3 linked regions of the Anolis sagrei genome follow. The protein of the gene in region 1 purifies or fractionates together with the protein of each later gene. This does not show direct contact. Links are inferred from orthologs where the notes say so. Each region holds a gene or a part of one and is shown on either strand. Other genes may lie near its edges.

Region 1 (7,761 bases):
CATTACGACATCAAAAATGATCACCATGGGCAGGGCCAAATTCAGGAATTAAAATTTTTAAACACTGTAAAATATCAAGGAGGGGTTCCGGGGGATGAGGTAAGATTTAATTGCACAACAAGAAAATAAAGTGCTTCTGAGGGCATTTTATGCAGAGTTTGGTCAGAGATTATCATGTAATCAATCACTGAAAGCATATTGGAACAGCCAATGAATCACATACCTAAACCTTTTTGCACTGCTGGGCAAGAGGAGAGAGGGGCAGCAATGGCTGTGAAAACACTGGTAGGAAGCTGATGGTAGCCATGAAAAAACTGGTAGGAAGGCCAGACAGAAGGCACAGCTTCCCAACAGCCTTTTTACAACCACTACTACTTTGATTTACATTCGATAGCAATTCCTGTTTTTGTAATGCATACCTTCAAAACGAAGGTGCACATAACATTCAATGACGCATTATACTCAAATAACTATGGGCATTGATCCCATGAAGATCAGTACTTGCTCCTGATATACTTACTTCATTGAAATCAGTTCCTATGTGGGCGTGTGGCAGAGTCATTTCATTACCCTTAGCCCCCTTTTATACAGATTGAATAACTCTTATCCAAATTCTTGGGCTCAGAAGTGTTTTGGATTTTAGAATACTTACATTTGCATATATATACTTAATGAGATAGCCTGTAAATATACACATAACCTAAAGATAATTATATAGAATGGCGTTTTTATTATTTTTGTGCATGAAACAAAGCTTATGTATGCTGAGCCATCAGATAGCAAAGATGTTATCTCAGCCACCTATGAGGAAGATATTGGATTTTGGAATTCCAGCTAAGTGATGCGCAATCTGTATTACATTACAACACTCAATAAAAATAAGATTCAAAGCAGAAATAACATTGGAGGAAATGATCACAAAAGAATCCACCTGCCAAAATTTAGAAAGTCAAGCAAAGGAATATTTGTTGTGTTCCAGGTCTTAGTTCTTGCACAAGAATATTTCTTTATGCTGCTCCTCATAGTAAATGCTTTCCCACATAGAAGATTACAGAATTTACAGGCACATACATTGTTCTAGTCTACTTCAGGACATTCCTGACCATTTTTTCAACACCCCACACCTATTGATGGATTACACAACACTTAGCAATAACTAACTTTATCGAAGTCTTGGCGGAGAAACACAAGACTAGGTAAGATTTTCAAGTTATTATATTTCAGGCACACTTTTCAATTCAATTTGGGTCGCAATGTAAGAATGGAGAAGTCAAAATGGGACACTAAATATTACAATACTGTATAACTAGAGTATAACTATATGATGTTTGACTATTGTAGATGGGTCTATACATTGCACAATAGACTTTCAGTTAACTGGAATTCAAGCAACCAGAACTCTCAAGCTATCAAAGAAATAATCAGATCAGACCCCACCTGTTTGAAATACCTTTTAAATGAACTGCAACAGAAGCCTAGTATTTTGTAGTATTTTATTGTCATATGGAAATTTTAGACTGCTTTTAATTTAATGGTAATTTTTAATTTTCTATAAGGGAGCATCCATTTAACTCTTTTGGGTTGTTTTAATCAATGGTTTTATATTATACTGTATGTTTTAATGATGTTGTGAATTACTTTGGGTCTGCTGGAGAAAGGCGGTATAGAAATTCCTGAAATAAATAAGTAATACTGTATACACAAAGCAATTTTTAAAATACAGCAAAACTGTGATGTTATGTTTGGCTTTATTTGCTTTTAATTACTGTATTTCAGTATGAATATCAAGTCAATACAGAGCATATGATATACTACAGTATGTAGTATTAGCTAGACCTATTTTAAATTGTAACTCTCAAGCAACCAGACCCTAATTTATCTGGCAACTGCCTATACATTTAAAATCTATTGCTTCTCTTTTCCCTTGAATTGCATTATCATTATTATACTACTCTGCCTTTCCCCCAAGATTAGGACTGAAGGCAGCTAACAAATTAATGATCACAATAGTTTAAAAAAAACATTGAGAGTCACTATTAAAGTAAAATCAAACTATTAAACAATTCAAAATACACTTTAACGCAAGGCTGGGCAAGGTAAGAGTGAAATTCCACCCACCAAAATATTTTTTTCTTTCCCCAAATATTCCAATAAGGGTTGCGATGAGTATTTTTGAATTTTGGATTATGTGATTTTAACATTAAGATGTTAAAGCTATGTTTCAATTGTCTAAATGTTTGTGTTCTGTTTAATATGATTTTAATGGTTTCATTTATAGTTATATGTATTGTTTTAGTTATTATGTTTGGTGTGTATATATCTCGGCATTGAATCTTGCCATTACTTGATATACACCACTTTGAGTCCTATCCCCACCCCCCGGGGTGTGAAAAGTGGTTTTGTTTGTTTTGTCATGTCAGAAGCAACGTGAGAGACTGCAAGTTGCTTCTGGTGTGACAGAGTTGGCCGTCTGCAAGGATGTTGCCCAGATGATTGGATGTTTTTATCATCCTTGTGGGAGGCTTCTCTCATGTCCTCGCATGAGGAGCTGGAGCTGATAGAGGGAGCTCATCTGTCTCTCCCCGGATTTGAATCTGCGACCTGTCGGTCTTCAGTCCTGCCGACACAGGGGTTTAACCCACTGCGCCACTGGGGGCTCCTGTGAAAAGTGGTGTATAAACACAGTCAATAAATAATAATATTAAAAACCCACCTACTCAGCACTGAAGAAGTCTCAGTTCTTAGGTTAAACTACAAAAATACATGACACAGATTATTTTTCGTTAAGATGGGTATTGCTGAAATAATATTTCCATTGAAATTTAGCATCATCTCAGGCCCCTTCCACACAGCTGAATAAAATCCCTCATTATCTGCTTTGAACTGGATTATATTGCAGTGTGAATTTAATGTATTGTCAAAGGCTTTCATGGCCGGAATCACTGGGTTGTTGTACGTTTTTTCAGGCTATATGGCCATGTTCTAGAGGCATTCTCTCCTGACGTTTCACCTGCATCAATGGCAAGCATCCTCAGAGGTAGTGAGACAAACGTCAGGAGAGAATGCCTCTAGAACATGGCCATTTAGCCCGAAAAAACCTACAACCCAGTGTGAATTTAGATAACCCAGTTCAAAGCAGATATTGTGGAATTTTATGCCTTAATATTCTGGGTTATATGGCTGTGTGGAAGGACCCTGGGAAAACCGCTGCCCTTTCTGTTTTTAAGTCACCCAAGTTTATGGGATTCCGAGCTTTTTAAACTATCGCTTTGCAATGAGGGCAGCCCCGGCAAACGTTAGCAGGCATTGCCAATTTCTTGAGCAAAAGACAAGAGACACGCACAAGATCTGAAGGGCTGAACGGTCTGCCATGTTGGCGGACCGCAGAGGTACTGAAAGGACATGGACAATTCATAGGTCCCTGGATATACTGGAAATACAAAAAGGTTTGAGATTGAACAAGAAGAGCATTAGAACTAGTTCGATCATTCACTGAATCATGGACTTTACTTAAAAGACTTTGATTTCTTATTATTATGATTACTATTATTGAAAAGCAGGCCCTTATGAGCAGCACAGACCACAAGAGGGCAACTGACTTCCACGAGGGAGGAGGTTCCTGGCGGGAAAGCCGCAAACTCCGCCCGCCCACACCCACACTCCTCTTGATTGGAGAGCGCGCACGTCGCTCGAGAGGCATTCCACCAATCCCGCGAAAGAATGAGAAGCGCCCGCCCCCTCGGTCAACCCCTCCCTCCTCCCTCTCAGCATTCTCTCGCTCGGGCCGCCTCCACACCCTTCGACCCGCCAGGCTGTCACTCATGCAAGCTGGCCCCGCCCACCCTCAGGCCCCGCCCCCTCTTCCAACGGTACCACAGTGCGGTTCAGGCAAGCTCCCAATCACGCCGAGACCACGCCCCCTCCCTCTAAAGGACCGGCTTTCGCTAGCACGCCGCCCGCCGAGTTATTTCCCGTGGTCGCTCACCTGGGAGAGTGGAAAAAGTAACGGCTCGGTGCGGAACCAACTTCCCCCACCCCCTCACAACCGCCGCTTCTGCGCAACGCCCGCCAAAACAGGTTCGCAGTGCGCACGCGCCGAGCTGCCCCCCCCCTCCGCCCCTTTCTCGCGCTGGCGTGAGGCGCGCGCACCGCTCCCAGCGTCCCTCCCTCCCTTCCTCCTGTCTGACACAAGAGTGAACTTAAGGCGCATGCGTGGCTTTTGTAGGCCCCGCCTCACCGTTTGCTGCTGCTGTTGCTGCCTGGAAGCAAGCTTTTATAGATCTGAATGGCCCTTTCCACCTCTTTTATTCTAACCCCCGCTGCCACCTTCGCCAAAGGCGTTGCATACAGTTCTTGGGACCGTTAAAGGAAAAACGTTCTAAGGCTGCCAACTTAATTCCCGCCTCTGTTAAAATGAATGAAAAGAAAGCTGACCAACCGGAAAAATGGAATCCGGGTATGTAAGCCAATCACAAGAGAGATGCGTTCTAAATTGGCCAATAAAGGGAAAGCTACCATGGAGAGGGGGCGGGTGCTGCCTCAGAAATGGCGGAGGACAAAATTGAGGAGTGACAAGTATCTTACCCAATAGCAAGCGAACGGAGGTGGGCAAGCCGTGCGAAAAAGGGCGAGGTCACTATTCTGTTGTCCAATAGGTTGCGGCCAATCTGCCCGCTGCCCAATGGGAGAGGAAGCGGCTTAGGAGACTGACCAATCGTGGTTGGCCGGGGGCGGGCCTTAGTAGTGAAGCGCCGGGGCGCTGCTGACTCTGCCTCTTTCCGCCTCAGCTGCAGAAGAAGGAAGAAGCCGCGTTGGGGAGGAAGCCGGGCTAGGCCTCGCCGAGTGAATATCGCCACCATGTCGAAGTCTGAGGTAAGGTCCGCCCGCGGGCGTTTGTGTCGTGTTGTTTCGAAACCAAACCTGTGGCTTGTTTTTGTGGAATTATGTTTCCTTTGCCTTTAGGGATCGTCCGATTACGGGTGCGATATGTCTCCTAACGAAGTAAGTGTTAAAAATCCTCCCCGCGCCAATGCTGGCTGTTTTTTCCCCCCTATTGGCCATTTTTGAGCTTCTGCTTCGGCCTCCTTCCCCTTGCCGCTTGGGCCTGCTTTTCCTCCACCTTCCCCGGCCACTACGCATGCGCGCTGGCTTCCCGGGGCAGGCGCCATCTTTTACAGTGCGTGGCGTTCTAAGCTTTCCCCCGGCGCCTGTAATGGCTGCGCATGCGCTGTGCAGTCCAGCAGGCTTTCTCTGGAGCGCATGCGCGCCGTAGAGCACAGCTTTTCCCCCTTGAGCTCTGTGCGGGGGATGGGAAAGGGCTGAGCCACGTGATCGCTCGCTTTGTCTCTTGAGCCCAGAATCCTCATTGATTCCATTTCGAACTTGAATAAACCCATTTGATTCATTGTGTCGAAGATTATGCAGTTTGATACAGCTTTAACTCCTACGGTTCAGTATCATTCTGAGAGATAGCCTTTTGTAAGGTCTTCAGCCTTCTCTGCCAAAGAGTGATGGTGCCTCACCAAACTACAACTCGTAGGATTCCATAACATTGAGACACAGGCAATATAATATATTATATGTACTTATAATATTGATTGTAGTATTATAATGTAATACAATATAATACTAATACAGTATAATCTATATAAACAAAAATGTAATGTTCGTTTGTGGGATTAACATAAATCAAAAACCACTGGACAAATTGACACCAAAATTGGACACAATACACCTATCAGGCCCATGAGTGACTATCACTCATAAAAACACTGAAAAACACTGCAGAAGGGAATTTAAAAGAGAAAAAATACATTACAACGCATTTGCCAAACCATATATATATATACACACACACATGCACGCAAAACGCAGACTGGGCCACAGCAATGCGTGGCAGGGGGTGGCTAGTAACATAATAAAATATAATAATTATATAGTACATGTAATATTACTAATAATTTTGCATCATAATGGTGTAGTACAATATAATAATATATGATGCTAGCATTGTACTATGCTAATAATGTAATATATAACTTGTAAGCTGCTCTGAGTCCCCTTCGGAGTGAGAGATGGCAGGGTATAAAATAGTATAGTAAATAAATAAAATAGCAATTAAATTATTAAACTACATAAATTCCATGTAGATGGACATCTTGCCTGAGAAGCATTCTGGACTCAAGCACCTTAATTATTCAGCCAGTTACACTGCTTTTGTAGTATTTAGAGAGAACTGTGTTGGTTTTGGAATATCAATCTGCAATTTTGTTGCAATTTAAAGACTACCTGACTATCCATCAGTTTTTGAGAGACCGCTCTCCCCACTGAGTTGGAGCCAGCCAGACATCGCTCCATCTTATCTTATTGTATTATATCGTATTTATATTGTAATTGTAAAAGTAAATTAATATTTTGGAAAACACCGAGCCTTTGTGACTAAAGAGTGGACTATAAATAAATAAAATAATAATGCTCAAATTTACAAAAGCTAATGCTACCAACCTGTTTTCCTCAGCCTTTAGAATGCCATTACATCCCTTTCCTTTCTTCCATACTCCACCCTTTCTAAGTTGGCGAGGTGGTCGTTACACAGTTCATTCCAAAATCTGCTTTTTATGCTTCTGTTATCTGGTGCATGGTCATGAAAGCAAAACATATTCCCATGTTGCCAAGACCCATGGTGCTCTTTCTGTGGATCCTCTGCACTATATTTACATAGACCAGAAAAAACACTTGTATTTGCAGGCAGCAGTCTTGAGCAATAGTATATATCCTTAGTCATTCATTGTAGCATGCCTTAAAAATTATTTGCTGTGGAGTCTTTAAAAATGCAATAATTTCCCCCAATGGTATGTTTATTTTTTCAGTGGCTCAATTCTGGGTTTTTTAACAGGTCTGCTAGTCAGTTTATTTATATTGCCCAACTTAATTATTCTGACAATTATGTGTGCCAGAAGTGCTGAAAACACAGGAAATGAGGCAATTGTCAGCAAAACCTATATGCTGTAATTTTCAACTCTCTTACAAAATTATGCTGCAAAACACTCTTTGTTTCAGTGTAGAAATTGAGAGAAACCCAGAAAGTACTTAAAGAAACAGTGGCATAATCTGTAATATTTGGAATCTGTGCCTAAGTGCTCCCAATGAAGTTTAAGACTTTGTAGTCAAGAGTAAGTAACATGCTAGTTTCACAAATGCTTGTGGCATGGTAAGAGTGTTTCTTTTCATTTACAGTAGGAGCTCTGCCTTCACAGGGGTTAAAGATACAGGACCCCTCTGAAATGGGAGAATCACAATTATTTTCTTTTTACCTGTGAAAATGCCTCTAGGACTCTGTTCTGGCAAAGGGTGACCATTGAGTAATTTTAGAGGACTTGGATATTCCTAAAGAGAGGATAGTACTAAAATACACAAAATGTAGACGGCGAACAGTTGAGTGAACATATTCTGCAGAACCATCCGGGCAATTTTACTTGTTGTTTTATCACCTTGCTTTTTTCTCTTTTAGTCCCCGAAGGAGCCTGAACAGCTGCGCAAACTGTTTATTGGGGGCCTCAGTTTTGAGACAACAGATGAGAGCCTTCGCAATCATTTTGAGCAATGGGGGACACTTACAGACTGTGTGGTAAGTATCTCCAGCATCTTGAGCACAGCTATTACAAGGGAAACATTTCTGGTTTGGACTGGATTGGGTATTGCAGCTTAAAGGACAGCACACCTAACAAGTATTAGAGAAGCTATTGAAAAAGAAGGGGGCAT
Region 2 (7,914 bases), on another chromosome or scaffold:
TCATATGTTCCTCCCAGTCATCTGGGGGAGGCGGGGTGTCCGTATCAGTGCGAGCAAAGATCACGTGTCTTTCACATTCGTTCATCACCGTCCGGGCCTTCTGGTTGTCATACAGTGGAACTGGCGTAGGGGTCACCGTTTCCACATCAATAGGGACATCGGCCTCACTGGAAACAGACATTGCCATTTCAGGGAAAAGAACCACTGGTTCCAGCTGGTTAATGTCCTCTTAACAAGAAAACCTCTGGGACATAATGTCTGTATACAACACACCATGGACTAAACCAATGGTTCTCAACCTTCCTAATACCGTGACCCCTTCACACAGTTCCTCATGTTGTGGTGACCCCCCAACCATAAAAAGTATTTTCGTTGCTACATCATAACTCTCATTTTGTTACTGTTATGAATCGTAATCTATATAAATAAAAATGTAATGTTCGTTTGTGGGATTACTAGAACTCAAAAACCACTGGGGGAATTGACACCAAATTTGGACACAAGACACCTAACAACCCAATGTATGTCCTTCACTAAAAAAAATGATTTTGTCATTTGGGAGTTGTAGTTGCTGGGATTTATAGTTCACCTACAATCAAAGAGCATTCTGAACCCCATCAACGATGGAATTGAATCAAACTTGGCACACAGTTCTCCCATGACCAACAGAAAATACTGGAAGGCGGGCAGTGTCCTTTGGTTTTGGAGTTGTAGTTCACCTACATCCAGAGAGCACTGTGGACTCAAACAATGATGGATCTGGACCAAACCCTACACGAATATTCAATATGCCCAAATGTGAACAATGGTGGAGTTTGGGGGAAATAGAATTTTGACATTTGGGAGTTGTAGTTGCTGGGATTTATAGTTCACCTACAATCACAGAGAATTCTGAATCCCACCAATGATAGAAATGGGCCAAACTTCCCACACAGAACCCCCATGTGGGCCACAGCAATGCGTGGCAGGGGACGGCTAGTGTAAATATCTGATATGCAGGATGTATTTTCATTCACTGGACCAAGTTTGGCACAAATATTAAATCCTCCCAAATTTGAATACTAGTGGGGTTGGAGAGGGATGGATTTTGTCATTTGGGAGTTGTAGTTGCTGGCATTTATAGTTAATCTGTGATCAAAGAACAATCTGAATTCCACCAACAATGGAATTGAACCAAACTTGGCACACAGAACTCCTATGGCCAACAAAAAAACTGGAAGGGTTTGGTGAGCATTGACCTTGAGTTTTGGAGTTGTAGTTCACCTACATCCAGAGAGCACTGTAGGCACAAACAATGATGGATCTGGACCAAACTTGGCACAAATAGCCGATATGTCCAAATTTGAATACTGGAGAAAATAATGGAGCCCCCGGTGGCGCAGTGAGTTAAACCCCTGTGCCGGCAGGACTGAAGACCGACAGGTCGCAGGTTCGAATCCAGGGAGAGGCAGATGAGCTCCCTCTATCAGCTCTAGCTCCCAATTGCGGGGACATGAGAGAATCCTACCACAAGGATGATAAAAAAAAAACCCATCAAATCATCCGGGCATCCCCTGGGCAATGTCCTTGCAGACGGCCAATTCTCTCACACCAGAAGTGACTTGCAGATTCTCAAGTTGCTCCTGACACGACCAAAAAAAGGGGGGGGGAATAGACCTTGGCATTTGGGAGTTGTAGTTGCTGGGATCTATAGTTCACCTACAATCAAAGAGCATTCTGAACTCCTCCAAGGATAGAATTGGGCCAAACTTCCCATACAGAACCTCCATGACCAACAGAAAATACTGTGTTTTCTGATGGTGTTTGGCGATTCCTCTGACACCCCCTTGTGACTCCCCAGGGGGCTTTAGACTAAACTAAGCAGATATAGAACGGAATAAGGAAGTGAGGATCAATCATATTTGTGATTTCTCTGTGGAATTTAAAATTGGACAGTAAAGGGGGGGGGGGAATCAAATAATTTGAAATGTAGAGCTAGAAGAGACCACAGACCACTAAAAAAGACAAACATATGGGTCCGAGAACAAACCAAGCCTGGATTCTCGGTATTTTGGTCATAGAATGAGACAATGCTACTTCTTAGGAAAGACAATAACACTTGGAAAAGTGGAAGCAAGAAAAAAAAAGAGAAAATACAATACAGATGGACTGATTCAATCTAAGCAGCAACAGTTTCCCAGAATTTGTAAGATTGGGATTGGGGATCCTGTAGGTTTCTAAGTCAAGAGATCTTCCTAAGTCAACATGCACAGACAGCGAGACAGACGAGTGACACTTACATGGTGCCGCTGTCTTGGTGCCTCTTAGGTGTCACAAAGAGCAGGCGGGTAGGGCGGGCATTGCTGGCATCTGGGTGGGCACTCCAGGGCTTGGCATAGCTGTGATCCAGGAAGACCAGGTCCAGCTCTCTCTCGTGGACCGACAGCTGGAAAAGCAGGGAGGTCCCCATTCTCCGTGCAGAGGTCTGGAAATCGCGTTCGTTGCCTCGGTATGACATGTCTCCACGTCTTTGGCTGCTAACGCCGTTGGGGCAAAGGACTCCTCTTGCCCCTCATCCTGGTCCCTGGCAGGAAAGGAAGAGAGAAGCACCAAGAAATTGGCTTCTTCACACATCTGTTTATTTCTGAGGGGCTGCTGATACAGATTGGAGCCTGGGTCTGTAAATTTAGGATCTGCTATGAGTTTGGGCCTGCAGAAGCACCTCCCAAGATTTCCAGGAGTTCATATTGTGCATTCCTATGCATATAAAAGGTAAAGGTTTTCCCCTGACATTATGTCCAGTCATGTCCAACTCTGGGGTGTGGTGCTCATCTCCATTTCTAAGCCAAAGAGCCAGCATTGTCCGTAGACACCTCAAAGGCCATGTGGCTGGCATGACTGCATGGAGCGCCGTTTTATATATATATAACTATGTATATTTACTATGTATATAGTAAATCCTATACTATGGGACTACCTGGGTCCATAAGGTGACTCAATCCAAATGTTTGAGAAGTGGACAGCAGTATCCTTGGGTTGCTGTGAGTTTTTCAGGCTGTATGACCAGCTTCCGGAAGCATTTTCTCCTGAAGTTCCGCCCACATCAATGGCAGGCATCCTCAGAGGTTGTGAGGTATATTGGAAACTAAGCAATATATGTGGAAGGCCCATGGTGGGAGAAAGAACTCTTGTCTGTTGGAGGCCAGTGTGAATGCTGCAATTACTCACCTGGCTGATTCCTGCCTGGGGAAATCCTTTGTTGGGAGGGGTAAACTGGCCCTGATTATTCCATATTTTCTGAGTGTTGCTCTTTATTTACTGTTCTGATTTTAGAGGGTTTTTTTTAGTACAGTAGAGTCTTGCTTATCCAACACAAATGGGCTAGCAGAATGTTGGATAAGCAAAAATGTTGGATAATAAGGGCAGATTAATGAAAAGCCTATTAAATGTCAAATTACCTTATGATTTTACAAATTAAGCACCAAAACATAATGTTTGACGACAAATCAACAAAAAAAGCAGTTCAACACAGTAACGTTATGTATTAATTACTGTATTTACAAATATAGTACCAAAACATCGCAATGTATGCGGAAACAGAAGAATGGCCTGTCTCAGGGGAGCGTGCTTGCTCCATCCACGTTCAACATCTACACAAATGACCAGCCACTGCCAGACGGGACAGAGAGTTTCATCTATGCAGATGATCGTGCCATTACTGCTCAAGCAGGAGCTTTGAGATGGTTGAACAGAAGCTCTCCGAAGCTCTAGGTGCTCTTACTGCCTATTACAGGAAAAACCAGCTGATCCCTAATCCATCTAAAACACAGACATGTGCCTTTCATCTCAAGAACAGAGAAGCATCCCGAGCTCTGAGGATTACCTGGGAAGGAATCCCACTGGAGCATTGCAGCGCACCCAAATACCTGGGAGTCACTCTGGATCGTGCTCTTACCTACAAGAAGCACTGCCTGAACATCAAGCAAAAAGTGGGTGCCAGAAACAATATCATATGAAAGCTGACTGGCACAACCTGGGGATCACAACCAGATACAGTGAAGACATCTGCCCTTGCGCTGTGCTACTCTGCTGCTGAGTATGCATGCCCAGTGTGGAACACATCTCACCACACTAAAACAGTGGATGTGGCTCTTAATGAGACATGCCGCATTATCACGGGGTGCCTGCGCCCTACACCACTGGAGAAATTACACTGCTTAGCCGGTATTGCACCACCTGGCATCCGCCGGGAAGTAGCAGCCAATAGTGAAATGCTATTCTCTCCTGACGTTTTGCCTGCATCTATGGCAAGCATCCTCAGAGGTTGTGAGGTCTGTTGGAGCAAAGAAAATTGGGTTTTTATATATATGTGGAATGTCCAGGGTGGGACAAAGAACTCTTGTCTGTTGGAGGTAGGTGTGAATGTTTCAACTGACCACCTTGATTAGGATTTGATGGACTGGCAGTGCCTGGGACAATCTTTTGTTGAGGGGTGATTAGATGTCCCTGATTGTTTCCTCTTTGTTGTTTTGCTGTTGCAATTTTAGAGTTTTTTAAATACTGGTAGCCAGATTTTGTTCAATTTCATGGTTTCCTCCTTTCTGTTGAAGACCCTCTGAAGGTGCCATTTGCCACAGATGCAGGCGAAACGTCAGGAGAGCATGATATTGGAACAGGGCCGCTGTTGAGTATGTGCAGAGTTGCCCAAAGGCCTTTACTCACCTTTAAGAGCGGCCTCGATCCCGACGGGGCTTGAACGGAGAGACGTTGAGGGAAGAGGAAAACAAGCAGGCGAGACTCTCACTTTAGCCCCGGCCGCCAGCCAGGCAGGCCTCAGCCTCTTCTGCGCATGCGCGCTTCTTTTTTTTCCCCCTTCGACGCTGATTGGACGCCGAGCCTCCCCTGTCCCGACGCGGTGACGTCACCCCAGCACGTCGGCGCAAAAAAACGGAAGCGGATGTTTAACCGACTTTGGTAGGAAGGGACTCGAGGGAAGCGCCTCGTTGGAAGCAGAGGCCTGAGGAAAGGAAATGGGAAAGAAGAACAAGCTACCGGATAGGTAAGAACGTGAGACCGGATTACACAGAGCCTTCCTGGCCCAACCTGAAAGAAGGGAGAGCCTAGGCCAGGCATGGGCCAACTTGGGCCCTCCAGGTGTTTTGGACTTCAACTCCCACAATTCCTAACAGCCGTTAGGCTGTTAGGAATTGTGGGAGTTGAAGTCCAAAACACCTGGAGGGCCCAAGTTGGCTCATGCCTGGCATCGAAGGTAAAACTGAAAAGAAAAATGGGTTCCTCTAAAACTGTGGAGACCAAAATCCACTGATTGTGGTAATGTGAAAGTATTTAAATTAATGTATTGTCGAAGGCTTTCATGGCTGGAATCACTAGGTTCTTGTGGTTTTTTTCGGGCTATAGAGCCATGTTCTAGAGGCATTTCTCCTGACGTTTCGCCTGCATCTATGGCAAGCATCCTCAGAGGTAGTGAGGTCTGTTGGAATTAGGACAATGGGTTTATATATCTGGGCTCTCCAGGCCAATGGAGACTCCACCTCAGACATCAGAAGAGCTGCAAGACCAAGAACAAGCCACAAGAGTAAAGATGAAGATCCACCCAGAGGAAAAGTGTTCCTGCCATACATCAAGGGAACCACTGATTGCATAGGGAAGCTGATGAGGAAACACAACATACAAACAATCTACAAACCCACCAAGAAAATCCAACAAATGCTACGTTCAGCAAAGGACAAGAGGGATCCTCTCACCTCTGCAGGAGTCTACCGTATACCATGCAGCTGTGGACAAGTTTACATAGGGACCACCAAACGCAGCATTGCCCAAACACGAATCAAGGAACTTGAAAGGCACTGCAGACTACTTCAACCAGCAGAGCACCTGATGAACCAGCCTGGACACAGCATATTATTTGAGAACACAGAAATGCTGGGCCACACCAACAACCACCATGTCAGACTACACAGAGAAGCCATTGAAATCCACAAGCATGTGGGCAATTTCAACAGAAAGGAAGAGACCATGAAAATGGACAAAATCTGGCTACCAGTATTAAAAAATTCTAAAATTACAACAGCAAAACAACAGAGAGGAAAAAACCAGGCACAGATTAACACCTCCCAGCAAGAGATTTTCCCAGGCTCAGGCAGGCCTTCAAATGCTAATGAAGGTGATCAGTTGAAACAGTCACACCTAGCTCCAGCAGGGAAGAGCTCTTTGCCCCACCCCAGCCATTCCACAGATATATAAACCCATTGTCCTAATTCCAACAGACCTCACTACCTCTGAGGATGCTTGCCATAGATGCAGGCGAAACGTCAGGAGAAATGCCTCTAGAACATGGCCCTATAGCCTGAAAAACCTTCAAGAACCTAATAATAATAATAATAATAATAATGTAATAAAACTTTATTTATACCCCGCCACCATCCCCCCAAGAGACTCGGAGCGACTTACATGAGGCCAAACCCAACAACACATCACAACAGAAAAGCAATAACAACAATACAAAGCAATTCAATATAATATCTATATAAATAAAAATGTAATCTTCGTTTGTGGGATAAACAGAACTCAAAAGCCACTGGACGAATTGACACCAAATTTGGACACAAGACATCTAACAACCCAATGTATGTCCTTCACTCAAAAAAATTGATTTATCATTTTATTATTTATTTACTTTACTTATAGACCGCTGTTCTCAGCCCGGGGTCGACTCACAGCGGTGTACAACAAACAAGAACAGCAAGATTCAAAACTACAGAATAAAAACAATTCACAACCTAACACTATACACAGTTAACACCATTACTATGATAACCATTCAGCGTCGTGTCATCATCCAAAACATAATCCAAATTTGTCTTCCGTTGTTCCATTCCTATATTCATTACCAATCACTGCACTAATTATTCGAACACCTGCTTGAACAGTCAGGTCTTCAATTTCTTGCGGAATATCATTAGAGATGGTGCTAGTCTAATGTCCGTGGGAAGGGTGTTCCACAGCCGAGGGACCACCATTTATCATTTGGGAGTTGTAGTTGCTGGGATTTATAGTTCACCTACAATCAAAGAACATTCTGAACCCCACCAACGATGGAATTGAACCAAACTTGGCACACAGATCTCCATATATGAACCCACACATTCCCTTCGATCATCTGGAGAGGCCCTGCTCATGATCCCACCTGCGTTGCAAGCGAGTTTGGTGAGGACGAGGGACAGGGCCTTCTCTGTGGTAGCCCCCCGACTCTGGAACACTCTCCCCAAGGACATCAGACAAGCCCCAACATTGGCAATTTTTAGGAAGAGCCTGAAGACCTGGCTGTTCCAGTGTGCCTTTCCAGATTAGGAAACTCCTGGCATCATGTCCCAAATGCACTTTGTTAGAGACTAGGATTGTCTGCACATTGAACCTACCTCCAACAAACCTCTACATACCTCCTGTCAAGTTCAGCACTTTTAAATTTTGTCCATTACATTTGGCCCGGCCTTTTAGATTTTAAATGCATCATGTGTCGTTGTTTTTAGTGTTTTATTGTCTTAGCTTGATGTTTTATTATTTGCTTATGAGTTTTATGTTATATTTGTATGTTGTTGTTGCGGCCTTGGCCTTTGTAAGCCGCATCGAGTCCTTCGGGAGATTTTGCGGGGTATAAATAAAGTTAATAATAATAATAATAATAATGACCAACAGAAAACACTAGAAGGGTTTGGTGGGCAGTGTCCTTTGGTTTTGGAGTTGTAGTCCACCTACATCCAGAGATCACTGTGGACTCAAACTGTCGAGACACAGACGCCTTAAAGGGGCCACACAAAGTATTAGTTCCAAAGTACAGTTTAATGCAACAAAAACACAGAAGCTCAGAGACGCTTAACTTCAGTGCCTCTGGCTAAAACTCAAAAAATTAGCCAA
Region 3 (7,761 bases), on another chromosome or scaffold:
GGGAAGGGAGGAAGAAAAGGAGAGAAGGAAGAAAGTACCGGGAAAACTAGGAATCTCCACAGGCTTTTGGAAGCATGACCCTTTCGGAAATTAATTGGTTTTCACACTGTTTGGAAAGGCATGACCTTGTTAGAGATTATAACCTTTTTGTAAAGTATGATCTTCCTGAGAAGAGTTAAAAATATGCTTGAATCAGTCTTCTCCCTAGTAGTAAATATACACTAGTATTTATGCAAGGCAATTTAGGCTTCCTAGCTGTTAGGCTGATATACCTGGTTCTCTCTCTGAACTGTTAGGAACAAAGATATGCCAATGCATCAATATAGCAGCTCATCGGAAGTGTTATTTTCAATAGCCCAAAAATATATCTACTTTCCCATAAAATATATTGCTTTTAAATCATACTTTCAAGAGACCAAAAAATAAAGTAGTCTTTGTTAAAAGTTAACATATTTTATTTACTTACAAACTTCATGTATTTAGCATACAGGTACATTGCTTATTGGTTTCATGTTAACTGAATTATATTTAAAACTGTACTATACTGTACATCTGCTGCAAACAGACTCATATATTAATTGACACCTCACTTCAGCATACTATCTACACTCCTGCTCTAACTGACATTTACTGTCTCAACTAACTTCTAACTCCCAACTGACTCGACGTTGTACCCCAGATAGAGTTCACCTTGCCATTAGCACAAACCAGAAATCCAAAAGCAGTAGTAAAATACCAGTCGGATGAGAGCACATATAAAAAGGGGAAAATCCCCCAAAGGAGTAAGAAAGGCAAAATCCAACAGATAATCAGAAAAGGTAGTCAATATATAAAAACCCAACCAAGCTGGTGAGGAGTAAAACACTTCAAAGGCAATAATCCAAATGGTACAGGAAAACAAGAATCATAATATAAACATGAATCCAGAAAAACCATGGCTATAAGAACTTAAAACATGAATCAAAACACCCAGGAACCTGAACTGGAAACATGACTTGACATCCTTACTATTAAGCAGCGTTGCCTGATCTGAACTCTCAATGAGACACTATCTAATTTAAGAGCTGCAAAACATGAAGGCATTTTTGACCTTGAGGTTCTGGCTTGTGAAACTTTGCCTGTGCATCTTTCTCAATTATTCTTTTGGATTTCCCGCACCTGATGTTTTTTTCCCTTAAGTTCCAGCCTGATATCCCTGTCTAACTCAACTGTTCTCTTGGATGAGCTATCTTGGTCTGCTAGGTCTTTATCAGGAGTTGCTATGCTCCTTGTGGGTGAAAGGTCTTCTCCCTGTCTGCTGGACTCCAAAACAGTTCCACTTTCAAACTCATTCACCACTCCCTCAGGCTCTGAAACCCCAATCCCCTCACCACAACACTCAAGCCTCAACTGACTTCTGACTTCTCAACTGTGGTGTTCCACAGGGTTCAGTCTTGTCCCTCATGTTGTTTAACATCTACATGAATGTGCTAGGTGAGATCATCTGGAGTTTTGGAGTTCAATGCCATCTGTACGCAGATGATGTCCAACTGCACTCCTTTCCACCAGATGCTAAGGAGGCTGCCCAGGTCGTGAACCAATGCCTAGCTGCTGTGACAGTCTGGATGAGGGCGAAAAATTTGAAGTTGAATCCAGACAAGACAGAGGTCCTCCTGGTCATTTGCAAGGATGGGGTTACATTCCCTCTGAAGGCGCAGGTTCGCAGCTTGGGAGTTCTCCTGGACTCATTGCTGAGCCTGGAGCTTCAGGTTTCGACGGTGACTAGGGGGGCTTTCGTACAATTAAAACTTGTGTGGCAGTTGCACCCATACCTTGGAAAGTCAGACTTGGCTATGGTGGTCCACGCTCTCTTTACATCCAGGATAGACTACTGCAATGCACTCTACATGGGGTTGCCTTTGAAGACTATTTGGAAGCTTCAAATAGTCCAACAAGAGGCAGCCAGGTTAATAACTTGGCACACAACTCCCATGTTACGTCAGCTCCACTGGCTGCCTGTTTGCTACCGGGCACAATTCAAAGTGCTGGCTTTGGCCTACAAAGCCCTAAACACCCTGGTCCAGTTTACCAGTCTGAATGCATCTCCCTTTATGAACCAACATGAAGACTAAGATCTTCTGGGGAGGCCCCGCTCTTGGTCCTGCCTCTGTCACAGGCGTGTTTGGCGGGGATGAGAGAGAAGGCCTTCTCAGTTATTGCCACCCGGCTATGGAATTCCCTTCCTGATGAGATTAGATCAGCCCCCTCTCTTCTGTCCTTCAGAAAGATGCTAAAGACCTGGTTGTAGGACCAAGCCTTTGGGGCAGTGCAATGATGCAACAATAGGGAACTTCACTGACCAGGGCCAGCATGGTGTCTCGAGACGGTTTTGAACAGCTGATTTAAAAGTAGATATGAATGATTTTAATGTTTGTGTATATTTATAGTTATTTTATGTCCCGGCATGGAATATTTGCTGTTGAGTCCCCTTCAGGGTGAGAAGGGTAGAATACAAATGTTTCAAAGAATAATAATAATTCTAACTGACTTAACTGACTCCAACAGACTTCTGATTCAAACGCATTCTGAAATGGAGTCCCACTCTGAACACTCTAAGAACAGGGTCACGTGATCTCTAGTCCCTCCCACAACCTCTAACAACATAGAGTTAAGGGCAAAACTGCATACCAATATATACATACAATATAGCCAGCAATCTCAATTATATACAAAAACAAATATCTAGTGTAGGAAACTGGTAGGAGATTGCTATTTTCAACATGTAGTGGGGGAAGGATAACAGAATAGAAAAAAGGTATAAGAGAGGAGAGGAAAGTATGAGAAAGGAAGGAAGGAAGAAAGGAATGAAAGAAGGGCGGGAAGAAAGAAAAAAGTGAAGAGAAAGGAAAAAAGGAAGAGGGGAGGGGAGGATAGTAAAGAAAGGAAGAGAAGAAAGAAGCATGAGGGGGAAAAAAGGAAGAGCAAGCAAATAAAAGCGAAGATGTATGAGAAAAAGCAAGAGAAGAAGGAAAGGGAGATGGACAAGGCATATGAGGCAAAAGGAAGAAGAAAAGAAAAAGCCACAAAGAAAATGCAAATATATATGGGAGTATGTTGTCAAAGGCTTTGATGGCCGGAATCACTGGTTTGCTATGAATTTTCTGGGCAGTACAGCCCTGTTCCAGAAGCATTTTCTCTTGATGTTTCGCCCACATCTATGGCAGGCACTATTTATTTATTTTAATTATTTTGAATGTTTTTACCCTGCCCTTCTCAACCTCAACTCAGGGCAGCTTCCAACTGGCAACAATTCGATGCCGCATAATAAAATACAAAACACCAATAATTATAATAGTTAAAAGCATAAAAACATAAAACATTAAAACAATATACTTAGAGTCCACTGAGTTATTACCAGTCTGGTGGTCATTTAACTAGCTGTATACTATGATTGAGTACTCTGTTTAACTTATCCATAATCCATTTCCAAGCCATTGTCAACATTGTCAATTGTCATTTCTGCTTAATTACCCGAAGGCTTGGTCCCACATCCACGTTTTTATCTTCTTTCTAAAGGTGAGGAGGGATGATGATGACCTAATTTCCCCGGGGAGTGAATTCCACAGGCGGGGGGCCACCACCGAGAAGGCCCTGTCCCTCATCTCCACCAAACGTGTTTGAGACAGAGGCGGGGCCGAGAGCAGAGCCTGCCCAGAAGATCTTAAACTCCAAGGTGGGATGTAGGAGATACTTTCGGACAGGTACGCTGGACCAGAGCTGTATATTGTTTTGAGGATGTGTACCTCACAATCTCTGAGGATACCTAGAATAATAGAATCATACAGTTGGAAGAGACCTCATGGGCCATCCAGTCCAACCCCCTGCCAAGAAGCAGGAATATTGCATTCAAAGCACCCCCCAACTGATGGCCATCCAGCCTGTTTAAAAGCCTCCAAAGATGAGGGCAAAATGTCAGGAGAGAATGCTTCCAGAAAATTGCCATACAGCCCGGAAAACTCACAGCAATCCAATATACACAAGTAGGTTTTTTTAATTTCAGAAATTGATTGTGAAAAAAGCATTTTATTGCCATTGTTATTAGCATTATTAAAGAATCAGTCGTAGAAATAAAAAAAAACTTTACTTCAGCTGCGGATGAACTATACAAAAACCAAGTCTGAGTTCCTTAGAAACAAGGAGAAACCAGTCATCCTGGCTACAGACACAAATATATAACTCGGCTGCTTTTTCTGGGATTGTTTCACTGATTGATGTATCAAAGCACATTAATAGCTAGACAGAAGTGAACTTAAATGTACAGACTTTCTGTATTTTTGAAGGGCCAAACAGAGAAAGCTGGGGGTGAAGTCTCCATATCTTCCTTTGTGGCCTAAGTCTAAGAGAACAGTTCATTGTTCCACAAAGCCGGTCCCGCCTCTTGCCTGTCCAGTTGGAAGTTAGTATTCTTTAAACAAAAATACGCTACAGAGAGTGCGGAGTTGTGCTCCTTCCCAGCAGTTCCTACGCCGGAAACTAGTTTCTTTACGCTAAAACCGGCACAGGGAGCTTACGCAGATTGCGGAGGCGGTTGTGTTTCTTCCGGGGTTCGATGATTCGAGAATAGGCAGAAAGGTGGCGTTAGCCTGGACTTTGTCAGCGTATCTTAGGGGCAACTTGGCGAAAGTGCCGTTGAATGCGCAATTAGCGCACAATTGGCTATTCAGAGACGCGCTTTACGCAAGAGTGGGCTGGGCTGATAACGTAAAGTGAGGCGAGCTCGGGCGGCGGCGGCCATTTTGTGTCAGCAGGCCGGAGAAGAAAGACAGGGGAGGTTCTCCTCAGCGGCGCCTGGCTCGAGTCGGCCCGGAATTTGACCCCAAGCGCCTCTCGAGTCAAGGAAATAAAGCTCCGAAGGCTGCTTCTGAAAGGATTTAGACAGAAGCTGCTTGTTGGTTCCTTCGAGGCCGGCCTGTTGTCCTTTTCTCAACCCCCGCGCCGGCGACTGACTCTCGGCCTTCGAGGATGCGAGGCTTCGGGGACCGAGGCCGCGACCGAGACCGCGGCGGGTGAGTGGATGAGGCCTAGCAAAGGACGCCACGCGAAAGCTCCCTTTAGGGGGCCTCCCAGGCTGAACGTTAGGCCTTTCTTGGTCACTATCAAAGCAGAGGGAAATAAGGGGTCGTCTACACTGTCGATTTAATCCAGTTTGCGTCACTATTGCTGTGGAATCCAGGGATTTGTCGCACTCTCCCCCCCCCCCCCGGCTATGTCCCTGGAGAAACTACAGCGCCCAAAGAATAATAATAATAATCATACAAATACAATATATACCATTATTATTATTATTATTATTATTATTATTATTCTTTGGGCGTTGTAGTTTCTCCAGGGAATAATAATAATAATAATGGTATATATTGTATTTGTATGATTATTATTATTATTCTTTGGGCGCTGTAGTTTTATTATTATTATTATTATTATTATTATTCTTTGGGCGTTGTAGTTTCTCCAGGGAATAATAATAATAATAATGGTATATATTGTATTTGTATGATTATTATTATTATTATTCTTTGGGCGTTGTAGTTTCTCCAGGGAATAATAATAATAATAATAATGGTATATATTTATTATTATATAATAATAATAATTATTATTATTATTCCCTGGAGAAACTACAACGCCCAAAGAAGAAGAAGAATAATCATACAAATACAATATACACCATTATTATTATTATTCCCTGGAGAAACTACAATGCCCAAAGAATAATAATAATAATTCTTATTCCCTGGAGAAACTACAATGCCAATTATTATTATTATTATTATTTGGCATTGTAGTTTCTCCAGGGATTTAGCCCTGGAGAGACTAATAATAAAAAACCACACTTTAAACATAAATCATATTAAAAACAGTGCATCAGCAAATATCAAAACAGTTAGAAGGCGCGTTTACAATAAAATTAAACTAGCTTCATCTGCTCTGGCTCAATGTTATGGTATCCAGGGAGTTGTAGTTCTATAAAGGGATTTCCAGCCAAAGAGGGGTTGGTGCCTCTGCAGCTGCTACAATTCTATAGCATTGAGCCCTGGCAGTTGAAGTTTTGTCAAACTCTAAAGTAGGTAGGGAGCCAACTTGGGCCCTCCAGGTGTTTTGGACTCCAACTCCCACCATTCCTAACAGCCTCAGGCCCCTTCCTTTTCCCCCTCAGCCGCTTAAGCAGGAAAGGGCCTGAGGCTGTTAGGAATGGTGGGAGTTGAAGTCCAAAACACCTGGAGGGCCCGAGTTTGCCCACATCCGCTCTACAATGTAAGTCAGTTGAGGTCACACTTACAATAAACTTTATTTATATCCCATCCTCTCTCCCCAAGGTCTCATGGCGGCTCACAATGGACTCTTTTAAGTCACAATACTGTGGACTCTTTTAAGTCACATTATGAATTATGACTTTGAATCTTGTGTTGTGTTAATGTACTGATATGTTTACTATTTTTTCTGCTTTTCTCCTGATTTTAATGTATGGTGTATATTGTATTTGTATGATTATGTTTGTTATGGCATTGAATTATTGCCAATCTGGAAGCCGCTCTGAGTCCCCTTTGGAGTGAGATAGAGTGGGGTAAAAATATAGAAAATTATAAGCAGAAGACATCATGTACAACCTATAATCATAAACCAAAAGTTTGAAAAACGAATCACAATAAAATAAATGTACTTCTAAAGTGCCATCTACACTAGTGGTTCTCAACCTATGGGTCCCCAGGTGTTATGGCCTACAACTCCCAAAAATCCCAGGCAGTTTACCAGCTGTTAGGATTTCTTGGAGTTGAAGGCCAAAACATCTGGGGACCCAGAAGTTGAGAACCACTGATCAACACTGACCATTTAAGGCAGTTTGGATTCTATTTATCTCCTAATATATCAAGTTAGAATTGCAGCCTAGTTGTTTTGGAACTCATAAAATTTCTTTCTGGATCAGAAAAAAATATGTATTGTGACATTCCTGAAAATGGCCTAGCCTTAGGCTGAATCTTTATTCAGCAGGATTTGGAAAATCACAAGACAGTGAATGATACCTTTCTGAATGGGAGCAACGAGATTTTATTATGCTTTTAAGTAATTATTTTATATTGCTTTCATTTATTAACTTTGGTTAGTTATTATAAGTGATGTTATCGTATTATTGGTTTGAATTGGTTTGTGTGTTTTCATTAATGGCATTGAATGTTTGCCACTTTTTTGTGTGGAAACTACCCTGAGTCCACTTGGGGAGATAGAGCAGATTATAAATAAAGTGTTGTTGTTGTTAGATACACAACAAGATTAGTACACAGCAAATAAGATCACTAAGCTGACTTTTATATTTGATCACACGTCAAGACACTTCCCAAGTGTCTAGAACTGTGTAATGTATTGGGGTTTTGTTTTGTTTTTTTGCCGTGTCAGGAGCGACTTGAGAAACTGTAAGTTGCTTTTGACGTGAGAGAATTGGACGTCTGCAAGGACGTTGCCCAGGGGACGCCTGGATGTTTTGATGTTTTATCATCCTTGTTGGGAGGGTTCTCTCATATCCCTGCATGAGGAGCTGGAGCTGATAGAGGGAGCTCATCCGCATTCTCCTGGGGTTTGAACCTGCGACCTATCAGTCTTTAGCCCTGTCAGCACAAGGGTTTAACCCACTGCGCCACCGGGGGCTCCTAATTGTATTGGTGAATAATGTGTACAAATCCAGGTAGGGTGGCCTCCTGACAATTTTGTCAGCGCAGATTGTTTTTA

The links. Proteins that work in one complex are often made in the same cells at the same time.
Region 2: the proteins of HNRNPA1 (region 1) and DUSP11 purify together in Homo sapiens (affinity purification with mass spectrometry; 3 studies listed by BioGRID and IntAct, counting the BioPlex papers as one, with this or other methods). This does not show direct contact. The link is inferred for Anolis sagrei from reciprocal best matches to the Homo sapiens genes HNRNPA1 and DUSP11.
Region 3: the proteins of HNRNPA1 (region 1) and DDX17 purify together in Homo sapiens (affinity purification with mass spectrometry; 4 studies listed by BioGRID, with this or other methods). This does not show direct contact. The link is inferred for Anolis sagrei from reciprocal best matches to the Homo sapiens genes HNRNPA1 and DDX17.

Annotation. Positions count from the first base shown.
Region 1 is NC_090022.1:188,554,381-188,562,141, reverse strand, and holds the start of HNRNPA1 (heterogeneous nuclear ribonucleoprotein A1), read left to right. Parts: upstream 1-4,750; 5' UTR 4,751-4,857; coding exon 4,858-4,872; intron 4,873-4,962; coding exon 4,963-5,001; intron 5,002-7,510; coding exon 7,511-7,627; intron 7,628-7,761. UniProt on the Homo sapiens protein: Involved in the packaging of pre-mRNA into hnRNP particles, transport of poly(A) mRNA from the nucleus to the cytoplasm and modulation of splice site selection.
Region 2 is NC_090027.1:22,756,902-22,764,815, reverse strand, and holds the start of DUSP11 (RNA/RNP complex-1-interacting phosphatase), read left to right. Parts: upstream 1-4,906; 5' UTR 4,907-5,009; coding exon 5,010-5,038; intron 5,039-7,914. Other genes in the region: KANSL3 (KAT8 regulatory NSL complex subunit 3), read right to left, coding at 1-167, 2,280-2,497. UniProt on the Homo sapiens protein: Possesses RNA 5'-triphosphatase and diphosphatase activities, but displays a poor protein-tyrosine phosphatase activity. In addition, has phosphatase activity with ATP, ADP and O-methylfluorescein phosphate (in vitro). Binds to RNA.
Region 3 is NC_090025.1:163,996,524-164,004,284, forward strand, and holds the start of DDX17 (probable ATP-dependent RNA helicase DDX17), read left to right. Parts: upstream 1-4,753; 5' UTR 4,754-5,001; coding exon 5,002-5,045; intron 5,046-7,761. UniProt on the Homo sapiens protein: As an RNA helicase, unwinds RNA and alters RNA structures through ATP binding and hydrolysis.